2 linked regions of the Stegostoma tigrinum genome follow. The protein of the gene in region 2 interacts with the protein of the main gene of each other region in a biochemical or structural test. Links are inferred from orthologs where the notes say so. Each region holds a gene or a part of one and is shown on either strand. Other genes may lie near its edges.

Region 1 (9,614 bases), on a different chromosome or scaffold from region 2:
AAGCAGAATCAGAAGAGGTTGCTTGTAAAGTGACAAACTGGTGAAAGAAACATATGCTGCTACTTTCTGCAGCAATGAACCTACGAGGTATTTATGTGAAACATGTCTTTTATCATACTTTCACGCAATATGGGCATCATGAACAAGGCCAACATTTGTTGCTCTTTCCTAACTGCCCTTGAGAAGTTGATGAAATACCGTTTTGAACCATCTAGCGTAAGCATAATTGAGTTCCAGGATTTTGATCCAGTCACAGTGACGGAATATAGTTCCAAGTCAAGATGACATGTGGCCTGGGGAAATCTTTTAGCAGGCGGTCTGTCTATGGATCTGTTATCCTTGTCTTTCTAGGAGGTAGAGGTCATAAATTTGAAAGTTGCTGTCTAGGCCTCATGAATAAGTTGCTGCTACGCGCCTTGCAGATAGCAAGCATTGTGCCTCAGTGGTAAGCACAGTGAATATTGAAGGTAGTGGATGGGATGCCTGTCAAGTACATTGTTTTGTCCAGGGTGATGTCAAGCTTTGTTGTTAGAGCTATACTTATTCAAGCAAGTTGAGAGTTCCACAACTTATTCACACCTTTAAGATGGTGATAGGACATGGCAAGTCAAGAATAAGTTATTCACCTTGGAATGTCCAGCCTCTGAACTGATCTATGTACAAACTATCTACATAGTTGGGCCAGTTAAGTTTCGGATCAGTCATATCCAACAGAACGATGGTAAAGGAGGATTCTGTGATGGTAATTACATTGAATATCAAAAAGAGCTAGTCATATATGTTGGAAATGGTAATTTCATTATACTTGTGTAGTGCAACAATCACCTGACAATTTTAGCCATGAGCCTGAAGTATAACCAAATGTCTTGCTGCATATAGATTTCAGTAACTGAGGAATTGCAAATGGTACCGAACACTGAAATCACCACTTCTTTTGTCCCCGTTTGGACTATTCCTGTTATGAAGTCTGGAGCCCAGTTGCCCAGGCAGAACTCAAATTAAGCATCAGTGGAGCATGATATTGCTGAAAAAGTGATACTTCGAGCACAACTGGCGATTGAACAGTGGCTCAGTGATTAGCACTGCTGCCTCACCACCACGGACCTGGAATCGATACTATCTCACGTGGCTGTGTGGAGCTTGCACATTTTCCCAGTGTCTGCATAGGCTTCCCCCAGATGCTCCGGTTTCCTCCCACAGTCTAAAGATGTAAAACTTAGGTGGATTGGGTGTGCTAATTTGCCGATGGCATCCATAGATGTGCATGCTATGTAGATTTGCCGAGGGAAATGCAGGGTTATGGGCATATGGAAGGGATGGTGGGTGGGAGCTCTTCAGAGGGTCGGTTATGGACTCAATGGGCCGAATGGTCTGCTGCCACACAGTAGGGATTCTACGATTCTTCTATGATTTGCCTTTTTTGTGGACAGAACATACATGGGCAATTGGAGCTAGTAAGAACTACAGATGCTGGAGTCAGAGTCAATACAGTGTGGAACCGGAGGAACACAGCAGGTCAGGCAGCATCAGAGGAGCAGGAAAGTCGATGTTTCGGGTTTACACCCTTCACCAATCCTGATGAACGGTGTAAACCCGAAACATCGACTTTCCTGTTCCTCTGATGCTGCCTGACCTGCTGTGTTCCTCCGGCTCCACACTCTATTGATACCCAGGCATTTTTTTCACTTGTCTGATATATGTCAGTATTACAGCTGTATTGAAATAACTTAGCTAAGGACATAGCTAGCACTGGAACACAAGTCTTCAATATTATTGATCCATAGCCTTTGTAGTATCCAGTGCAGTCAGCAGTCAGTTTTTGACAATGTGCATGCTGCCAATGCCAAGACAGCAGGTAAAGTTAGTCACTGATAAGCTGCACTTCTATAAATGGTGGCACTGGTATCACACCACCATAACAGGTACTTCTGGCTGCTCACCACTAGATGTTGCCCCAACCACCAGATGCCCATGCACCCTTTCCCAACCCCCAGCCGTTGATGGGCACACACCTCATTGCAGGGCTTGGCATGTCTCTTAAAGAGTAGGAGAACAAGTGAGGTGGTGAGTTAGACACCAAGAGCTCTTAGTACACATGCCTCTAGGTTAACATTGCTTTCTAATTCATTGCAGACACACCTCTTGCTTGAACAGCAGAGTGCTACAACTTTAATAAAACCACACACTGACAAATAAATTCTGCCATATTGTAATGTCCACTGATTTCAGTGAGCCAGTTCTCAGTGTTTGATTACAATGTTATGTTTCCATGCATTTCCCACTGTATCGGAAATAAATGCATCTTATCATTTGAGTGAATAAAAATGACTGAAAATTGGCATTTGTGATGTTGGCAAGCTCAGATGGCAGGCAGGGTGGATCATCCATTCTGTACTTCCAGCTGAAGATAGTTCCACATGTGTTAGCCTTGTCTTTTGCACTAGTGTGCTGGGAATCCACTTCATTGAAGATGGGGATGTTTGTGAAGTCTTCTGTTGGCTGTCTAATTGTTCATTACAATTCAGGAACTGATGGAATAGAGCCACAGAATTTCGACCTGACCCATTGGCCATAGGATCGCTTCACCCTGAATGAGGCATGATGTAGTTTTGAACGTTCCCGCACAATCATGCAAAGATATGACCAATGATGAGACCGAGCAACATGGGACCAGGGATGCCAAATTTTTAAAAATGCTTATCCAGAAATTAGTGTTCATGATAAAAACAAGAAATGTGTTCACACTCAAGACTTCAGTAGGGCTTCTCTTTTTGTTGTGTTGTATCACCTGAACAAATAATGTAGTTCTTGGAAACACCCTGTCTATACATATATTAACCCCAAGAGAGTTAGTCACAGCATCTGTGCTTGCCATATGGTTCAAGTGCTGGTTCACCCTGGTAAATATTTCGGTAGCATACAACATGAATACTAAAAATAAATTGTGCAATGTGTTTACAAGACGGTATTCCTTAAAATCAATTCATCTAACGTTTTTACTTTCAAGTCTAAACCAGCAGACGATACCAGGTGAGGCGTACAACATAAACGTGCAGCGTTTCACATACGCAACGTGTCCGAATTCCATTAGTTAAAATCTGATAGTTATTACATACCAACCAATTATTCGACCTCTCAGATTTGACTTCCCCATTTAATTACGTGCACAACAACAACGAAATTCTCACACAAGCCGATCAGCGGGGATTTTCTCTCCTTTTTGTTAGGGATTAAGAGGGGAGACCTTGGAAGTTATTGCGCTTTAAACGTTGCACCGAGGATCTGTTTCAGCAAGTGACGCCAAGCGTTTGCACTGAGCTGTCTTCTTGACAGAGCCTCCAAGTTCAGCGCTTCAGGGCAGCAAATTCTTACCCATTCGGTACACACCCCGCTAACAGACTTTAGTGTGTGTGTGTGTGTTTTAAAAAAAAGACTTCTCAGAACTAACACGTTGTTGTATGCAGCGTTTATAAATAAACGTAACTACCGCCAGCACAGTTCAAGGGTGAGATGTGTTGACATTTGGGAACAGTGCGAGGAATGTGCGGAGTGACAGCGAATGAGCATCTCCCCACCCAGCTCCCGGCTCAGCCCCTAGGTACCGGCACCTTACCCTGGCCTGGGAGGCTGGTGCTAGGGATGAGTGGCTCATGGACAGTGACAGTGATCCGGCGCAGGCAAACCAAACCACTCCCCACCCGCAGCCCAGCCCGGCCCGGCTCCGCTAACCCCTTTTCCCCCACTGACCTGCGGCTCAGGGGCTGACTCTTCAGCTCGTAAAACGTTTTCGCTTCTTCATGAAATTCCTCCCCGACTTCAAAATCCGGAACGATTCCCGACTCAGACTGCATTGGGGCGGAACGCAGCGCAGGGGAGTGTAAGTGTGAGTGTGTTTGCGTTGGGAGCTCTACAAAATTTAAATCGGGATTCTTCACAAAAGGGGTGGTGTGAAATGAAGCGAGAATCCGAGCGGCGGCAGCAATAAATGTCAACAAGACAAAGTTTCTCTGAGTGACAGACGCTGTCTCCACGCAGGCTTCGCCACCTCCTCCTGCCCGGCTCCGCTTCGAAAGGACCGCCGGGAGTTGTAGTTCCCCGTGGCCCGGCGATTCCCTCCGCCCAGACCCCAGACCCCGGAGAGCGTGGACTACAACTCCCAGTGGCGAGTCGCGGCCCGAGCCGGCCGCTGGGGCATGTGCCCTTGGCTGACCGGCCGGCTTGCTGCTCCCGTACAGTGTAATGTCAGCAGGTTTTATTGGCTACTGCAGCAAACCAGCACAGTAAATTCTACTTTCATTTGTTTGCATCAATCAGATCAAAGGGTAAATACTGGAAAATGCTGGAGAATACATTGAGTGAAGTGTTGCATTTGCTTATTCCAACGCAGTGGAATTGTCTGCTTTGACCAATTTCTCACTTTGTAGGATCGCAATCCTCCCGGCTGCCTGTCTTTTTTTTGCAATTTCATGTCGATTTCTGACGTCCCTCAGCCTCAGCATGTGCGTTTATTTTTCTCTCTCTCAATACGCTTTGATGCGTCAGCAAACGTATTGTGAACTCAGGTCGAGCTTGCAAATAGGTTAAGGGAACGAGACCATATTTTGATTCTTCCATTTCACCTAGTAGATAGTTCAATTACAATCTAATACAAATACGGGAAAACACTATCCCAACGGCATGCTCGAGACGTAGAGTTAACATTGCTTTAATGATGTATGAGGTCATCTTGACTCCAAGTAAAATTGAACATATTTTCACATAACTGTTCACGGTAAGTCAAAAGTTGTTGGACTCAATTATATAGAGGTGCGCAACCATGTAATATATCAAATAATGTAATTTTAATACCTGCTCAAGGACAAATTTCTGCTGATAGTGAAAATCTAAAATTAAAAAAGTTGGAGATCAGATAAGAACTAAGGGAAACAGCTAACATGTCAAATTGTTGACCTTTCACAACACAATAAGAAGGCAGGAATTAGTTTTTATTCATTCATGGGATGTGCGTACAGTATATGACCTGCTTGGGCAATTTTCTGCATTGCTGTGTAGATGGCAATATTACAGCTTGAGTGAAAAAGGCATGGCCGGAGGCACAGCTAGTTACGGAGAGCAAGTCTGCAGTGCTTTTGTTTGGGGAAGAAATGTTGTCAGAGCTTTTGAAGGATCCAGTGCCTTCAGTAATTTCTTGATATCTTGGACTAAACTGAATTAACCAATGTCTGGCACCTGTGATGCTGGACACCCCAAGATGAGGCCAGGATGAATAATGTACATCGCACCTCTGGATGAAGATGTTTTCAAATGCTTCATTGCTTCCTTTTGAATAAAGTGATGGGCCCCATCATTGAAGGCAAGGACATATGAGAAGCCCGTGCACCTGTTGCTGCTTTAATTGACTACTTCCATTCAGGAATCCATTGACAGCACTGCAGAACTTTGATCTGATCCCTTCGTTTTGCAATCACTCAACTTACATTCAGCTTCCACTGTTTATCATGCAAGTAGTCCTCTGTTGTAGCTTCATCAGGTTGACAGCTCATTCTTGAAAATGCCTGCTACTGCTCCTAGCACACCCTCCAGTGCTCCTTATTGAACCAAGGAGATCTAGCAGCTTGATTATATTGGTAAATAAGGCTAAACCAAGCTATCAAGTCATAGATTGTGGTTGAATATGACTGCTGCTGCAGCACAGTACTTCCTAAATGCCCAACAGACAGATGAGGATTTGGGCTCGGGTCCCAGGACTGAACCTGTGATTTCTATCTCAGGTCCTAAATAGAGACAATTAATATAATATGGTCACCCAGAAATTCAATAGGTAATCAGACAAAATTTCTTTACACAAAGCATAGTGAGAATATGGAACTCACTATAATAAGAAATGGTTGAAGTGAATAATGTAAAGGATTTAAGGGGAGGTGAGACAAGTGTATGAGGGAGAAAGAAATAGATGGATATGTTGGTAGAATTGATGAGAAAGGATGGGTGGTGGTTCAAGCAGAGCATGATCACCAGCATGATTGAGTTGATCTGAGTGGCTTGTTTCAGTGTTGTATATCCTATATATGCAAATGTCTTGTAAGCACAGAGTAATACAGCATGGAAACAGACCCTTCTGTCCAACCGGTCCACACTAACCATAATCCCAAACTAAACTTGCCCCAGTGATAATGGGAACTGCAGATGCTGGAGAATCCAAGATAACAAAGTGTGGAGCTGGATGAACACAGCAGGCCATGCAGCATCTCAGGAGCTCAAAAGCTGACGTTTCACACCTAGACCCTTCATCAGAGAGGATGAAGGGTCTCTGATGAAGGGTCTAGGCCCGAAACGTCAGCTTTTGTGCTCCTGAGATGCTGCTTGGCCTGCTGTGTTCATCCAGCTCCACACTTTGTTATCTAAACTTGCCCCACATGCCTGCACTTGGCCCATATCCCTCCAAACATTTCTTATTCATGTACTTATCAAAATGTCTTTTAAACATTGTAACTGAACCTGCATGCACCACTTCCTCTGAAAGCTCATTCCACACAAAAACCACTCTCTGTGTAAAAGAGTTGACCATCATATCTTTTTTAAAACTTTCTCCTCTCACCTTAAAAATATGTCCCCTGGCCTTGAAATCGCCATCCTAAGGAAAAGACTTGCCATTCACTTTATCTATACCCCACATTATTTTATAAACCTCTATAAGGTCACCTCTCAACCTCCTATGCTCTCATGAAAAAAAGTCCTGGCCTCTCTTAACAACTCAAACCTTCCATCCCTGGCAACATCCTGGTAACTATCTTCTAAACTCTCTCCATCTTAATAGTATCCTTGGTATAATAGGGCAATCAGAGCTGTGCACAGTACTCCAGAAAAGGCCTCGCCAATGTCCTGTACCTCCTCAAAATAACATCCTAACTCCTGTATTCAAAGGACTGAGCAATGTAGGCAAGCATGCTAAATGCCTTCTTGACCACCTCATCTATATGTGATGCAAACTTCAAAAAATTATGTACCTGAATTCCTACATCTATCTGTTCTACAACACTGCCGAACGCCCTACTTTTAATTATATAAGTATTGTTTGTGCTTGTTTCTCCAAAATGTAATGCCTTGCATTTATCCAAATTAAACTCCACATGCCATTCTTCAGCCCACTGACCCAATTGATCAAATCTCTTTGTAATCTTAGACAACCTTCTTCACTATGCACTTTTACCACCATTCTTGGTGTCATCCACAAACTTACTAACCATACTTTTTATATTGTCATCTAAACATTTATATAAATGACAAACAAAAGTGGACTCAGCACCGATTGCTAGTTACAGGTCTCCAGTCCAAAAAAAAACCTTCAACCATCACTCTTTGGAAAACACTTTAAACTTCACCTGTTGAAGTTTCAAAAAGCTCAGAAATACTAATTTCTGTAGCTTTGTTAATTTTCCATCAGAGCAGATACATGAAACCATAACAACAAAAATCTCAACAAAGGAAATGTTTTTCTAAATGCTTCATAATCTTCATAGCACGTCAATCACCAATTCAGATGCTTTATTTGTGCAGCGTTAGTATTTGTAATTTCAGTGAAAGAAATTACTGTTGCACATGTATACGATCTAGATATACTGTTTTATAGAATGCCAATCGGGGGAACTAATTGGTTTTGATTTAGTCCCTTCTAACTGACTAATTAACTTTACTGTTCAAAATGCCTAAGTAGAGGGGAAATATTGTTGCAGATACCTATACTAATAAACTGCTGTGTCTCGGGTTAAAATTATTTATCCAGAAAAAACAGTTGATATCATTTGAAGCTTACAGAACTTGAGATGGAGAGCACAGTGTTATGAATGTGAGATATGAATAGGCATCTGATGAATAAATATTGATACCTAAACACCACCTAGTCAACAGAATGCTGGATAGCTCCAGATTATTTCAGTCTCACTGTTTACAGAATTGCTTGTTGCCTTGTTAACAGCACTAAATGAGGCAATCGTAAAAACGAAATAGGTATAGATTAGAAACGACTTCCAGATAGATGGTAAGAATTCTAACAAATTGTAAACTTTAATTACATGTCTAAGCAGTCAATGTTGCAAACTGCAAACCTCCTCAAAACAGTTTGAACAAACTGCTACCCTTGAATGGATCAAATCACGTACAGAGTTATATTACTTTAAGGATGATAAGACAGCAAGTTCTAACAATAAATTGTGGTCCAAAGCATCATTTGCAGAAATAGAGGTTTTTGCTGTTAATTTTGATTCAATTTTACATCATAATATTGAATCATTTAGCTTTCAATTCAATTGCAAAACAAAATTAAGCTAATGATCAAAAATAAGATCAAACAGTTTTTTTATCCATCATAGTTCACCACAGGCTTTTCAAATGGTTGTGTTTCCTTCAATGCAGCCCTGAGGGACCGCTCCACTTGTGAAGGCTTGGTTTTTGCATGAGATATTAAACTGAGGCTCTACCTGCCCTCACAGATAGACATAAAATATATTTTTCAAAGAATGATACCAACAGGAAATCCAAATTGTAGGTGCAAACAATGTGATATCACTTTGAGGCACAAAAAGCTTGAAACAGAAAATAGTGTCTTCCTTGTTTTAGTTCACAAATAGCTGCAGATACAGAGTAGCAAAATGAGCATTATCAGCAGAATAGTGTATAGCCAAAGCTGCAAGAGTCAGCAAATGTAGTATTGCAAAAATAAAGCTGGTTGTGCACACAGAAAGAAGATGGATGGTTTCCTGCTTCAGTTACTTCAAGGGGTTTTACGCATGTAGGACAATTAAAACACATTTTAAAAATGTAGAATTATAGATCTCAGCTGAAGTCTGTTCATCCACAAATTAATCATCATAATTTGGATTTTATATCCAATTCCACACTTATTAGTTCACCACATGGGTAGAATTTCTGATTGAACACAATCAGTAAAATCGGCACAAATGGTAAAAGGGTGCAAATGGTACCCAAACAGATGCTTGTTTTAAAAAGTGGATTTTTTGTCTTGTGTTTTCACTCAAAATCTCCAGTGCACCAACACTTTCAGGTGAATAGCTCTCGATGTATTTCAGAAAGGTATCATGATGTAGTTTGATAAATACAGCTGAAAACAAATTTGTTACACAAATAACTTCTTGGTCACAATATTATTCCATCATCTGTGTGTAACCAAATTTTAAATGACTGAAAACAACTTTTTCCAGAATTTTACAGAACTGTTCCCTAATTGTTTTGGAGTACAATAATCAACTTATTAATAACATGTTTTTTTCAAAGTTATGCTTAAACCTTTTTGGAGTCTCTTGGCCCAGACCTTTAGTCTCTGGTTTGTCAGAGACAAGGCATATGAGTCAAGATGCACCTCGAGACCTTGCCAAGTTGACATCTTTGGGATATGGATTGAGAAATTTGAACTCCTGATGACCAACTCATCTACTTCACAAAAGTGTCCAAGTCTGGGTCAGATTGGATACTTTGGGCAATTCCACATATTTATCATGTAGTTACCCAGCAAATGTTAGACTGAGAAACCCCAGCTTAACTCTTGGATAGCAACATAACTGAATCCCTAATCACTCATCTGAAGAAGGGTCACTGGA
Region 2 (10,187 bases):
AGGAAACTGCCATCCTTATTTGGCCTAGCCGACTTGTGACTCCAAACACACAGCAATACGGTTAACTCTTAACTACCCTCTGGGCAAGAAATGCTTGCCTAGCCAGCAATGTTCATACATCTTATTAATGAGCTTAAAAACAAACACAATGAAATGGATGGGAATATCTCCCCATCTTTCAGCAGCTCATTCCCATCATACAGGCCCTGAGAGGCCAAGTCAGCTCCGGACACATCCAGCTGACAGAAATCAAAGGCAGATGAAAACGACTGCTCAAGTAGCATTGTTTGCCATTCTCTGCAACATTCTGACTGAGAAAGAGAACACTCTCACCACCTAGCAAGCTACTAAAGAATCCCTCCAAGGCCTTACCTCAGTTGCACTTGGACTGTGTGATCGCCTTTTGCTCCAAGTAACAAATCTCTGAAAGGAAGAAAACCGATTGAGTAAAACTGCTCCTCAAAATAAAAATCTATGCTGCTTCATAAGGATTAGTGAGGAAATGCAGCATCAAGATACATTGCTGCTTGGTTTATTCATTGTGCAGAATCAAAAATATTGTTACAGCATAGGAGGCAACCATTCAGTCCTTTCAATTAAACTCTTCATCATCCATTGGCAAAGGAAGAAACCACAGCCAGCCTTTACATGGAATGGATTTATTCAGCGAGTATGAACCATTACAAGTATATATGCTGAGTCATTATTATGTATTTCTTTATACTTTTAAAATCAATTAAATAAACTAAACCGAATTAAAAGGTGACAAACCTTTATGGGGCAACTGCAACAAAAATCAAATGTTCAAACAAAACTTAAAATTTCATTTCAAATATGCTTAAGCAGCTATCCAATCAATGCCTTCCACAAGTGGAAATATTTTCTAACCAACCTGGTTCCAGATGTCATTACACAGCCCTGGAACTAGAGGGACTGGAACCTGGGCCTCCTGTTTCAGAGACAGGGACACAAAAAGTCCTTGACAGATCTGTACAAGAGCAAATATCTCTCTCACCCAACCATACTCTCCAACCTCTAGCCACTCTTCCTCACATCATACTCTCACTGCTGTCTGTTTGCCTCCACCTCCTCAGACCCTATCCCTCACACAGTCAATTCACGCTTCTGAAAAAGTGTCTCTCTGATAGCTTATTGTTTGGGTGAAAGGTTTTGTCCATTTTCACACTCTCACCTGGATGAGCAAATCTGTTGAACTTGCTGTGGGGTCAATGCAAACGTAACAACAGCTTCCTCAAATCGTTGCCCATTACTTGATACTGTAAAAAAAGAAAGCAGAAAGGATACAATGGAAACACCGCCTCATCATCATCAAGAAACAATATAGGCCCGTGAAACTAAAATGGAACAAAGAACCACAGAAGCTGGAAATCTGAAACATAAACAGCAATTGCCGGAGAAATTCAGCAAGTCAGGCAGCATGTGCGGACAGAAAGCAGAGTTAACATTTCTAGTTTAATTCTGAAGAATTCTCCCTTCCTTCCTTCACCACCCCAACCCTCACTACTCTCTCCTTCCCACCCCTCACTGTTTCCTCCTCTTGTGCTGCTCTCACTGACCGACTGACTTTCTTTGGAGTGAGATCAAAGTTGTCCTTACCATAACACACTGCCATATATGGCTACAGGCAATTCTGCACATGCTGCATCATTGGTAGCCAGGTCCAATTTTCGTTCTGGTTCCTCTGAAATGCCCTCCTGCTTATGAAGAACTGCAATGTTTGTCTCAGTTGGCTGGACAGTCAGTTTGTGATGCAGACAGGTGCCAACAGTGTGGGTTCAGTTCCTGAAACAGCTGAGGTTACCATGAAGGACTCTGCTTCACAATCTCTCCCCTTACCTCAGGTTAAACCACCAGCAGTTGTCTCTCTCAAATGAGGGAGCAGCCCTATAGTCTGGTAAGACTATAGCAATTTTACCTTTACCTTATCTTCAGACCAAACAGGAGGTCCCATCAAATTCCAGGCGTGCTGGGCACAGAACGACCACTGGTCAACAATATCAATCCTTCCAAATCCATCAACTTCCATCCCACCCCATATCTTCCCCTCCAAGCCCCCAGGCCATTCATCACCACGGCCTTACCTAATGTGGTTGGTTTGGTCAGCTCATCGTAGATGTCATAAAATGGCAGCCTCCTCATTTTGACGTCTGGATGCACTGGGGGGGACAGATGTTGTAAATCTAATTCTCGCTTGGGAGTGAGCATGCTGAGGGGCGACAACAGTGGGGACACCAAGGCCGAGGCAGCAGAGGTACTGTAGTGAAGCTGTGGATTGCTGCCAAGAGCCAGAGATGCACTGGCTGAAGGGTGAGCCACGGCGTTCTGGACAGATAGTAAAGGCAACTCCATGGTGGTGTGGCTCTTGCGAGGGAAGCGACGCCTGTAGAGCTCTTTAATTTTCATGTGCACAGCTGGACTGCAGCCAGACTTCAGCATGTACAGCACTTTGGTCAACAGCTCGTGTTTACGGCCTGTCTTGTTCCGGCCAGAGAATCCCAGCAGCACTTGTAGTTCCGACACTCTAAAGCTCATCACCATGTGCTGCAAAACAGAGAATCTGTTAGAAACAAAAACAAGTTGCTAGAAAAGCTCAGCAAGTCTGGCAGCAGCTGTGTAGAGAAATCAGAATTAACATTTTGGATCTATTGACCCTTCCTCAGAATCTGTTAGAGTGGGGAAAAGGTAGGGCAGAGAGGCAGGGTGGAGAATGCTGAAAAGGTGGGGGCTGCAGGGCCAGGGGATAGTTTTGCATCAGTGTTGAAAAGTGGGGGCATCAAGCAAGAGATGAATTTATCAGTGTGAGCAACGAGATGCCAGGTAAATGGTTTGGTGGGTGGGAACAATGTGGATGTTGCTGCGGCTTTTGGTAATACAGAATTGGCTGGCCAACAGAAGACAGCGAGTGGTAGTAGAAGGAAAATATTCTGCCTGGAAGTCAGTGGTGAGTGGGGTTCCACAGGGCTCTGTCCTTGGGCCTCTACTGTTTGTAATTTTTATTAATGACTTGGATGAGGGGATTGAAGGATGGGTCAGCAAGTTTGCAGACGACACAAAGGTCGGAGGTGTCGTTGACAGTGTAGAGGGCTGTTGTAGGCTGCAGCGGGACATTGACAGGATGCAGAGATGGGCTGAGAGGTGGCAGATGGAGTTCAACCTGGATAAATGCGAGGTGATGCATTTTGGAAGGTCGAATTTGAAAGCAGAGTACAGGATTAAGGATAGGATTCTTGGCAGCGTGGAGGAACAGAGGGATCTTGGTGTGCAGATACATAGATCCCTTAAAATGGCCACCCAAGTGGACAGGGTTGTTAAGAAAGCATATGGTGTTTTGGCTTTCATTAACAGGGAGATTGAGTTTGAGTCGTGAGATCTTGTTGCAGCTCTATAAAACTTTGGTTAGACCGCACTTGGAATACTGCGTCCAGTTCTGGTCGCCGTATTATAGGAAAGATGTGGATGCTTTGGAGAGGGTTCAGAGGAGGTTTACCAGGATGCTGCCTGGACTGGAGGGCTTATCTTATGAAGAGAGGTTGACTGAGCTCAGTCTCTTTTCATTGGAGAAAAGGAGGAGGAGAGGGGACCTAATTGAGGTATACAAGATAATGAGAGGCATAGATAGAGTTGATAGCCAGAGACTATTTCCCAGGGCAGAAATGGCTAGCACGAGGGGTCATAGTTTTAAGCTGGTTGGTGGAAAGTATAGAGGGGATGTCAGAGGCAGGTTCTTTACGCAGAGAGTTGTGAGAGCATGGAATGCGTTGCCGGCAGCAGTTGTGGAAGCAAGGTCATTGGGGTCGTTTAAGAGACTGCTGGACCTGTATATGGTCACAGAAATTTGAGGGTGCATACATGAGGATCAATGGTCGGCACAACATTGTGGGCTGAAGGGCCTGTTCTGTGCTGTACTGTTCTATGTTCTAAGTGTGACTGTTGGGGTGAGGGAATGAAAGCTGGAAGTGGTGGAAAGCAGCTGCAAACAGGAAGTATGGAGGAGTGGTTGGTGACGGTGTTGGAAAAGGGATGGCATATCAACAGACCTGGGGAAAGGGATGTAGTTGAGAATAAGAGTGTTTATGGAAGTTTTGGGGGCTTGGTGGGGGGTGGCGGGGGGTCGTGCGGAAGATGCCAGATTGTCAGGATGGGAGGACTGCCAGCAGGGCAGTGGGGGCATGTCAGCATGGGGAGAGGGGGTTGGTGAGGGGTAGGGGGTCAGCAGAGAGGATGACAGGTCAGTGTGTGGGGGGGGTGGAAGAGGTGTGTCAGTTTGGAGGGGGGTGATGGTGTGTCAGTGTGGGGTAGGGGTGTCCGTGGTGGGGGGGGGAGGTGAAGTTGTGTCAGTGTGAGGGTGTATCGATATGATGGTTGGGAAGGGGGTCGGTAGGGGATCAGAAGGGCGAATGGCAGGTCGCTGTGGCGGGGGAGCGGAGGGTCATTGGGAAGGATGGGGTCAGAGTGGGGGCTGTCATCAGTAGGATAAGTGTCAGTGAGGAGGGGTGTCGTGCGCTTGTTTTGGTGCGGGAGGGAGTGTCAGTGAATTTAAGAGGGAACCAGTAGTATGTGTGGGGCATGATTTAGGGTGAGGTTTGGGGTGGGGGCCTGCTCTGTTACGGAGAGCCCTCCAGGCGCGCCCACGACGGTCGTTCCCCCGACGCGCGCCTCCGCGCTCGGGCCAGTTCGCTGTGGTTAGTGGGGGGAATGCTTTCCTTCTGCTCGATCAACATCGACAGCTGGCTCCACCCGGTGCCACCACTGCAGAGAACAACCCCGTCCCTCCCGCTCGCTCTCCCTCTCCCTCCCGAGACCTCCTAATACTGACCCGCAATTCCCCGTCATCCGCCATCTCCGGGCATCGCCTCGACCCCGGGCCCACCTCTCCCCGCTGACATCATCACGCAGGCGACGCAATATGGGCGTGGTCTGGATGAACGGGCGAGACAGCGGTGCGTGTTAATAAGAGGGAGGGGCCTGCGGGGTGCGCCAGTTGGAGGGAGGGCGGGTGGAGCTGGCCGTGGAGAATGGGGCAAATTGTGATCAGAGATAAAGGGAACTGCAGATGCTGGAGAATCCAAGATAACAAAGTGTGGAGCTGGATGAACACAGCAGGCCAAGCAGCATCTCAGGAGCACAAAAGCTGACGTTTTGGGCCGAGACCCTTCATCAACCCTCTCTGATGAAGGGTCTTGGCCCGAAACGTCAACTTTTGTGCTCCTGAGATGCTGCTTGGCCCGCTGTGTTCATCCAGCTTCAACACTTTGTCAGCATGGGGTAAACTTGGGTTGTCGAACTTTTGAGGGCGTGGTCCATGTAGCGGGCGTGGCTGTGGTGTGGGGGGCGGGTCTTTGGGTAGCGAGGTGTGGTCCTGCCGCGGGGAGAGGAGCCGAGTGAAGGGAGCTGTTGGAGAAGGCGGGGCCACTGAGAGGGCGGGGCCTGTTCTCCAGTGCCGTTGGGCGCGCGAGTTTCTTTTGGGCGGGAAGGAGGTGTAAAACTGGAATGAAAGAAAGAAAAAAAATTATCAGCACAGAGAAAGTGAGAATTATCAGAAAATTGGAGGAGCGGGTTTGGGGGTTCGCTGCACTCCCTCGAAAACAGGACATACTTCCTCAGAAAAGGAGCCCAAAACTGCACATAATATAAAGTAGAGGGCATAGGTTTAAGGTGAGAGGGATAAAATATAAAAATGACCGGAGAGATAAATTTTTCACGCAGAGGGTCATGCATGTATGGAACGAGCAGCTAGAGGAAGTGATAGGTGTGGGTACAATTACAACATTACTACAAAATTACAATTACTACAAAACATCTGGATGGGTACATGAATAGGACGGGATTTGGGGATATGGGACAGATACTGGCAAATGGGACTAGGCCGGATTGGAATGTCTGATCAGCGTGGATGGGTTAAACGGAAGGGTCTGTTTCCATGCTGTATGACTGAGAAGGTTAGAATACAAGAGCAGAGGCATATGGCTTAGACTGTATAAAGCTCTGGTCAGACCGCAACTGAAATATTGTAATGGAGTAATATAGGATGGAAACAGACTCTTTGGTCCAACTAATCCATGTCAAACAGGTTTCACAAACTGAACTAAATCATTATATTCCTGTATCTATCTAAATATGTTTTAAATGCTGTGACAGTCCCTGCCTCTGTCACTTCCTGCGGTGGTTTGTTCTGTTTTGGGTCCCAAGTTTCAGGAAGGATATGCTGGCATTGGAGATAATCCAGAGGAAGTTTACAAGAATGATTCTAGGGATGAAGGGCTCTACGTCTAGCTTAGAAGGATGAGATGGGATCTGTTTGAAACTTGTAGAATACTGAGAGACCTGATTAAAGTGGACATGGAGATGTTCCCACTAGTAGGAGAGACTAGGACCCAAGAGCAAGCCTCAGAGTATAGCCCTTTAGAATTGAGATGAAGGGAAATTTTTCCAACTAGAGTGTGGCGAATCTGTGGAACTGATTGCTGCAGAAGGCTCTGGAGGCCAAGTCATTGATTGTATGTAAGACAGAGAGGTTCTTAATTAGCAAGGAAATTGAGAGTTATGGGGAGAAGGCAGGAGAATGAAATTGAGAAACATATCAGCTATGATCAAACGATGAAGCAGACTTGATGGGCCACATGGCCTAAGTTTTCTCCTATACCTTATGGTCTAAGGCCGAGAGAGAAATTTATAATTTCCTTAGAGAATCAAAGGAGATAAGGCAGGAAGTGATCTGGTGGTACTAGACTGTTAATCCTGATTAGACTGATAATCAGATTAGCTATGATCTTATTGAATTGTGGAGCAGGCGGATTGGGCAGAATGGCCTACCTCTGCTCCCATACATTATAGTCTTAAATTCTTAGTTCTTGGAAGGGAGTTCCATTTTAGTGAGTTGTCGCCGATTCCATGGCTGGCAGCCCTGCAGTTCTAGTAGAGAACATTGGGACCTGTGACTATTGCTGGGATTACAGGCTGTCGAACCACATCAATTTTGATAACACAATAGGGATCCAGGTTCAACAGGCTGATCTCATACTCTGCCACTCCCTTTGCCCCATGTGGTCATATAAAATCCAGACCATGGGTTCTGGACAATGGAGATAAGTTAATGGGCATGAACAAAGCGAGACAATGACCAAACTAGGTATGGAAGGGGCAAAGCTGAAAGAAAAGGTTACCAGAGAGATTATATTTTAATACTGTCTGAGGAATGAACTTCCAGAGGAAGTATTGGATGTGGGTACAGTTCAAGATATTTGGTTAAGGAAGCTGTAGAGCGCGGGAGCCGTGGTTTACGAAGGAAATGGAATCTCTGGTCAAGAGGAAGAAGAAGGCTTATGTTAGGATGAGATGTGAAGGCTCAGTTAGGGTGCTTGAGGGTTACAAGGTAGCCAAGAAAGACCTAAAGAGAGCGCTCAGAAGAACCAGGAGAAGACATGAGAAGTTGTTGGCGGATAGGATCAGGGTAAACCCTAAGGCTTTCTATAGGTATTGAAGGAATAAAAGAATGACGAGACTAAGATTAGGTCCAAACAAGGATAGTAGTGGGAAGTTGTGTGTGGAGTCAGAGGAGATAGGGAAAGCACTAAATGAATATTTTTCGACAGTATTCACTCTAGAAAACAACAATGTTGTTGAGGAGAATACTGAGACACAGGCTACTAGACTAGGTGGGATTGAGGTTCACAAGGAAGAGGCATTAGAAATCCTACAGAGGGTGAAGATAGATAAGTCCCTTGGGCTGGATGGTATTTATCCTAGGATCCCCTGGGAAGCCAGGGAGGAGATTGCCGAGCCTTTGACATTGATCTTTAACTCGTCATTGTCTACAGGAATAGTGCCAGATGACTGGAGGATAGCAAATGTGGTTCCCCTGTTCGAGAAGGGGAGTAGAGACAACCCTGGTAATTATAGACCAGTGAGCCTTACCTCAGTTGTTGGTAAAGTGTTGGAAAAGGTTATAAGAGATGGGATTTATAATCATCTAGAAAAGAATAAATTGATTAGGGATAGTCAGCACGATTTTGTGAAGGGTAGGTCGTGCCTCACAAACCTTATTGAGTTCTTTGAGAAGGTGACCAAACAGGTAGATGAGAGTAAACCGGTTGATGTGGTGTATATGGATTTCAGCAAGGCGTTCGATAAGGTTCCCCACAGTAGGCTATCATACAAAATGCGGAGGAATGGGATTGTGGGAGATATAGCAGTTTGGATCAGAAATTGGCTTGCTGAAAGAAGACAGAGGGTGGTAGTTGAAGGGAAATGTTCATCCTGAAGACCAGTTACTAGTGGTGTACCGCAAGGGTCGATGTTAGGTCCACTGCTGTTCGTCATTTTTATAAATGACCTGGATGAGGGTGTAGAAGGATGGGTTAGTAAGTTTGCAGACGACACTTAAGGTTGGTGGAACATAGAACATACAACATTACAGCACAGCACAGGCCCTTCGGCCCTCGATGTTGTGCCGACCTGTCATACCAATCTCAAGCCCATCTAACCTACACTATTCCATGTACGTCCATATGCTTATCCAATGACGACTTAAATGTACCTAAAGTTGGCGAATCTACTACCGTTGCAGGCAAAGCCTCCATTCCCTTACTACTCTGAGTAAAGAAACTACCTCTGACATCTGAACTATATCTTTCACCCCTCAATTTAAAGCTATGCCCCCTCGTGCTCACTGTCACCATCCCAGGTAAAAGGCTCTCCCTATCCACCCTATCTAACCCTCTGATTATTTTATATGTTTCAATTAAGTCACCTCTGAACCTTCTTCTCTCTAATGAAAACAGCCTCAAGTCCCTCAGCCTTTCCTCACAACACCTTCCCTCCATACCAGGCAACATCCTAGTAAATTTCCTCTGCACCCTTTCCAAAGCTTGCACATCCTTCTTATAATGTGGTGACCAGAACTGTACGCAATACTCCAAGTGCGGCCGCACCAGAGTTTTGTACAGCTGCAGCATAAATTCTTGGTTCCGGAACTTGATCCCTCTATTAATAAAAGCTAAAACACTGTATGTCTTCTTAACAGCCCTGTCAACCTGGGTGGCAACTTTCAAGGATCTGTGTACATGGACACCAAGATCTCTCTGCACATCTACACTACCAAGAATCTTACGATTAGCCCAGTACTTTGCCTTCCAGTTACTCCTACCTAAGTGCATCACCTCACATTTGTCCGCATTAATCTCCATTTGCCACCTCTCAGACCAGCTCTGCAGCTTATCTATGTCTCTCTGTAACCTACAGCATCCTTCTTCACTATCCACAACTCCACTGACCTTAGTGTCATCTGCAAATTTACTAACCCATCCTTCTACGCCCTCATCCAGGTCATTTATAAAAATGACAAACAGCAGTGGACCCAACATCGACCCTTGCGGTACACCACTAGTAACTGGTCTCCAGGATGAACATTTCCCATCAACTACCACCCTCTGTCTTCTTTCAGCAAGCCAATTTCTGATCCAAACTGCTATATCTCCCACAATTCCATTCCTCCGCATTTTGTACAATAGCCTATTGTGGGGAACCTTATCGAACGCCTTGCTGAAATCCATATACACCACATCAACCAGTTTACTCTCATCTACCTGTTTGGTCACCTTCTGAAAGAGCTCAATAAGGTTTGTGAGGCACGACCTTCCCTTCACAAAACCGTGCTGACTATCCCTAATCAATTTATTCTTTTCTAGATGATTATAAATCCTACCCCTTATAACCTTTACCAACAACTGAGGTAAGGCTCACTGGTCTATAATTACCAGGGTTGTCTCTACTCCCCTTCTCGAACAGGGGAACCACATTTGCTATCCTCCAGTCATCTGGCACTATTCCTGTAGACAATGACGAGTTAAAGATCAATGTCAAAGCCTCGGCAATCTCCTCCCTGGCTTCCCAGAGGATCCGAGGATAAATCCCATCCGGCCCGGGGACTTATGTATCTTCACCCTCTGAAGGATTTCTAATACCTTTTCCTTGTGAACCTCAATCCCACCTAGTCTAGTAGCCTGTATCTCAGTATTCTCCTCGACAACATTGTCGTTTTCTAGAGTGAATACTGTTGAAAAATATTCATTTAGCGCTTCCCCATCTCCTCTGACTCCACACACAACTTCCCACTACTATCCTTGATTGGACCTAATCTTACTTTCATCATTCTTTTATTCCTTAAA

Evidence for each region. The genes of interacting proteins can lie anywhere in the genome.
Region 1: the proteins of E3 SUMO-protein ligase PIAS3-like (region 2) and microphthalmia-associated transcription factor-like form a complex in vitro, tested with the Homo sapiens proteins (2 studies listed by BioGRID). The link is inferred for Stegostoma tigrinum from reciprocal best matches to the Homo sapiens genes PIAS3 and MITF.

Annotation. Positions count from the first base shown.
Region 1 is NC_081364.1:42,889,493-42,899,106, forward strand, and holds the start of microphthalmia-associated transcription factor-like, read right to left. Parts: upstream 4,051-9,614; 5' UTR 3,852-4,050; coding exon 3,748-3,851; intron 1-3,747. UniProt on the Homo sapiens protein: Transcription factor that acts as a master regulator of melanocyte survival and differentiation as well as melanosome biogenesis.
Region 2 is NC_081400.1:478,157-488,343, reverse strand, and holds the start of E3 SUMO-protein ligase PIAS3-like, read right to left. Parts: upstream 4,947-10,187; 5' UTR 4,862-4,946; coding exon of another isoform or gene 4,855-4,861; coding exon 4,838-4,854; intron 2,579-4,837; coding exon 2,103-2,578; intron 1,278-2,102; coding exon 1,193-1,277; intron 424-1,192; coding exon 373-423; intron 1-372. UniProt on the Homo sapiens protein: Functions as an E3-type small ubiquitin-like modifier (SUMO) ligase, stabilizing the interaction between UBE2I and the substrate, and as a SUMO-tethering factor.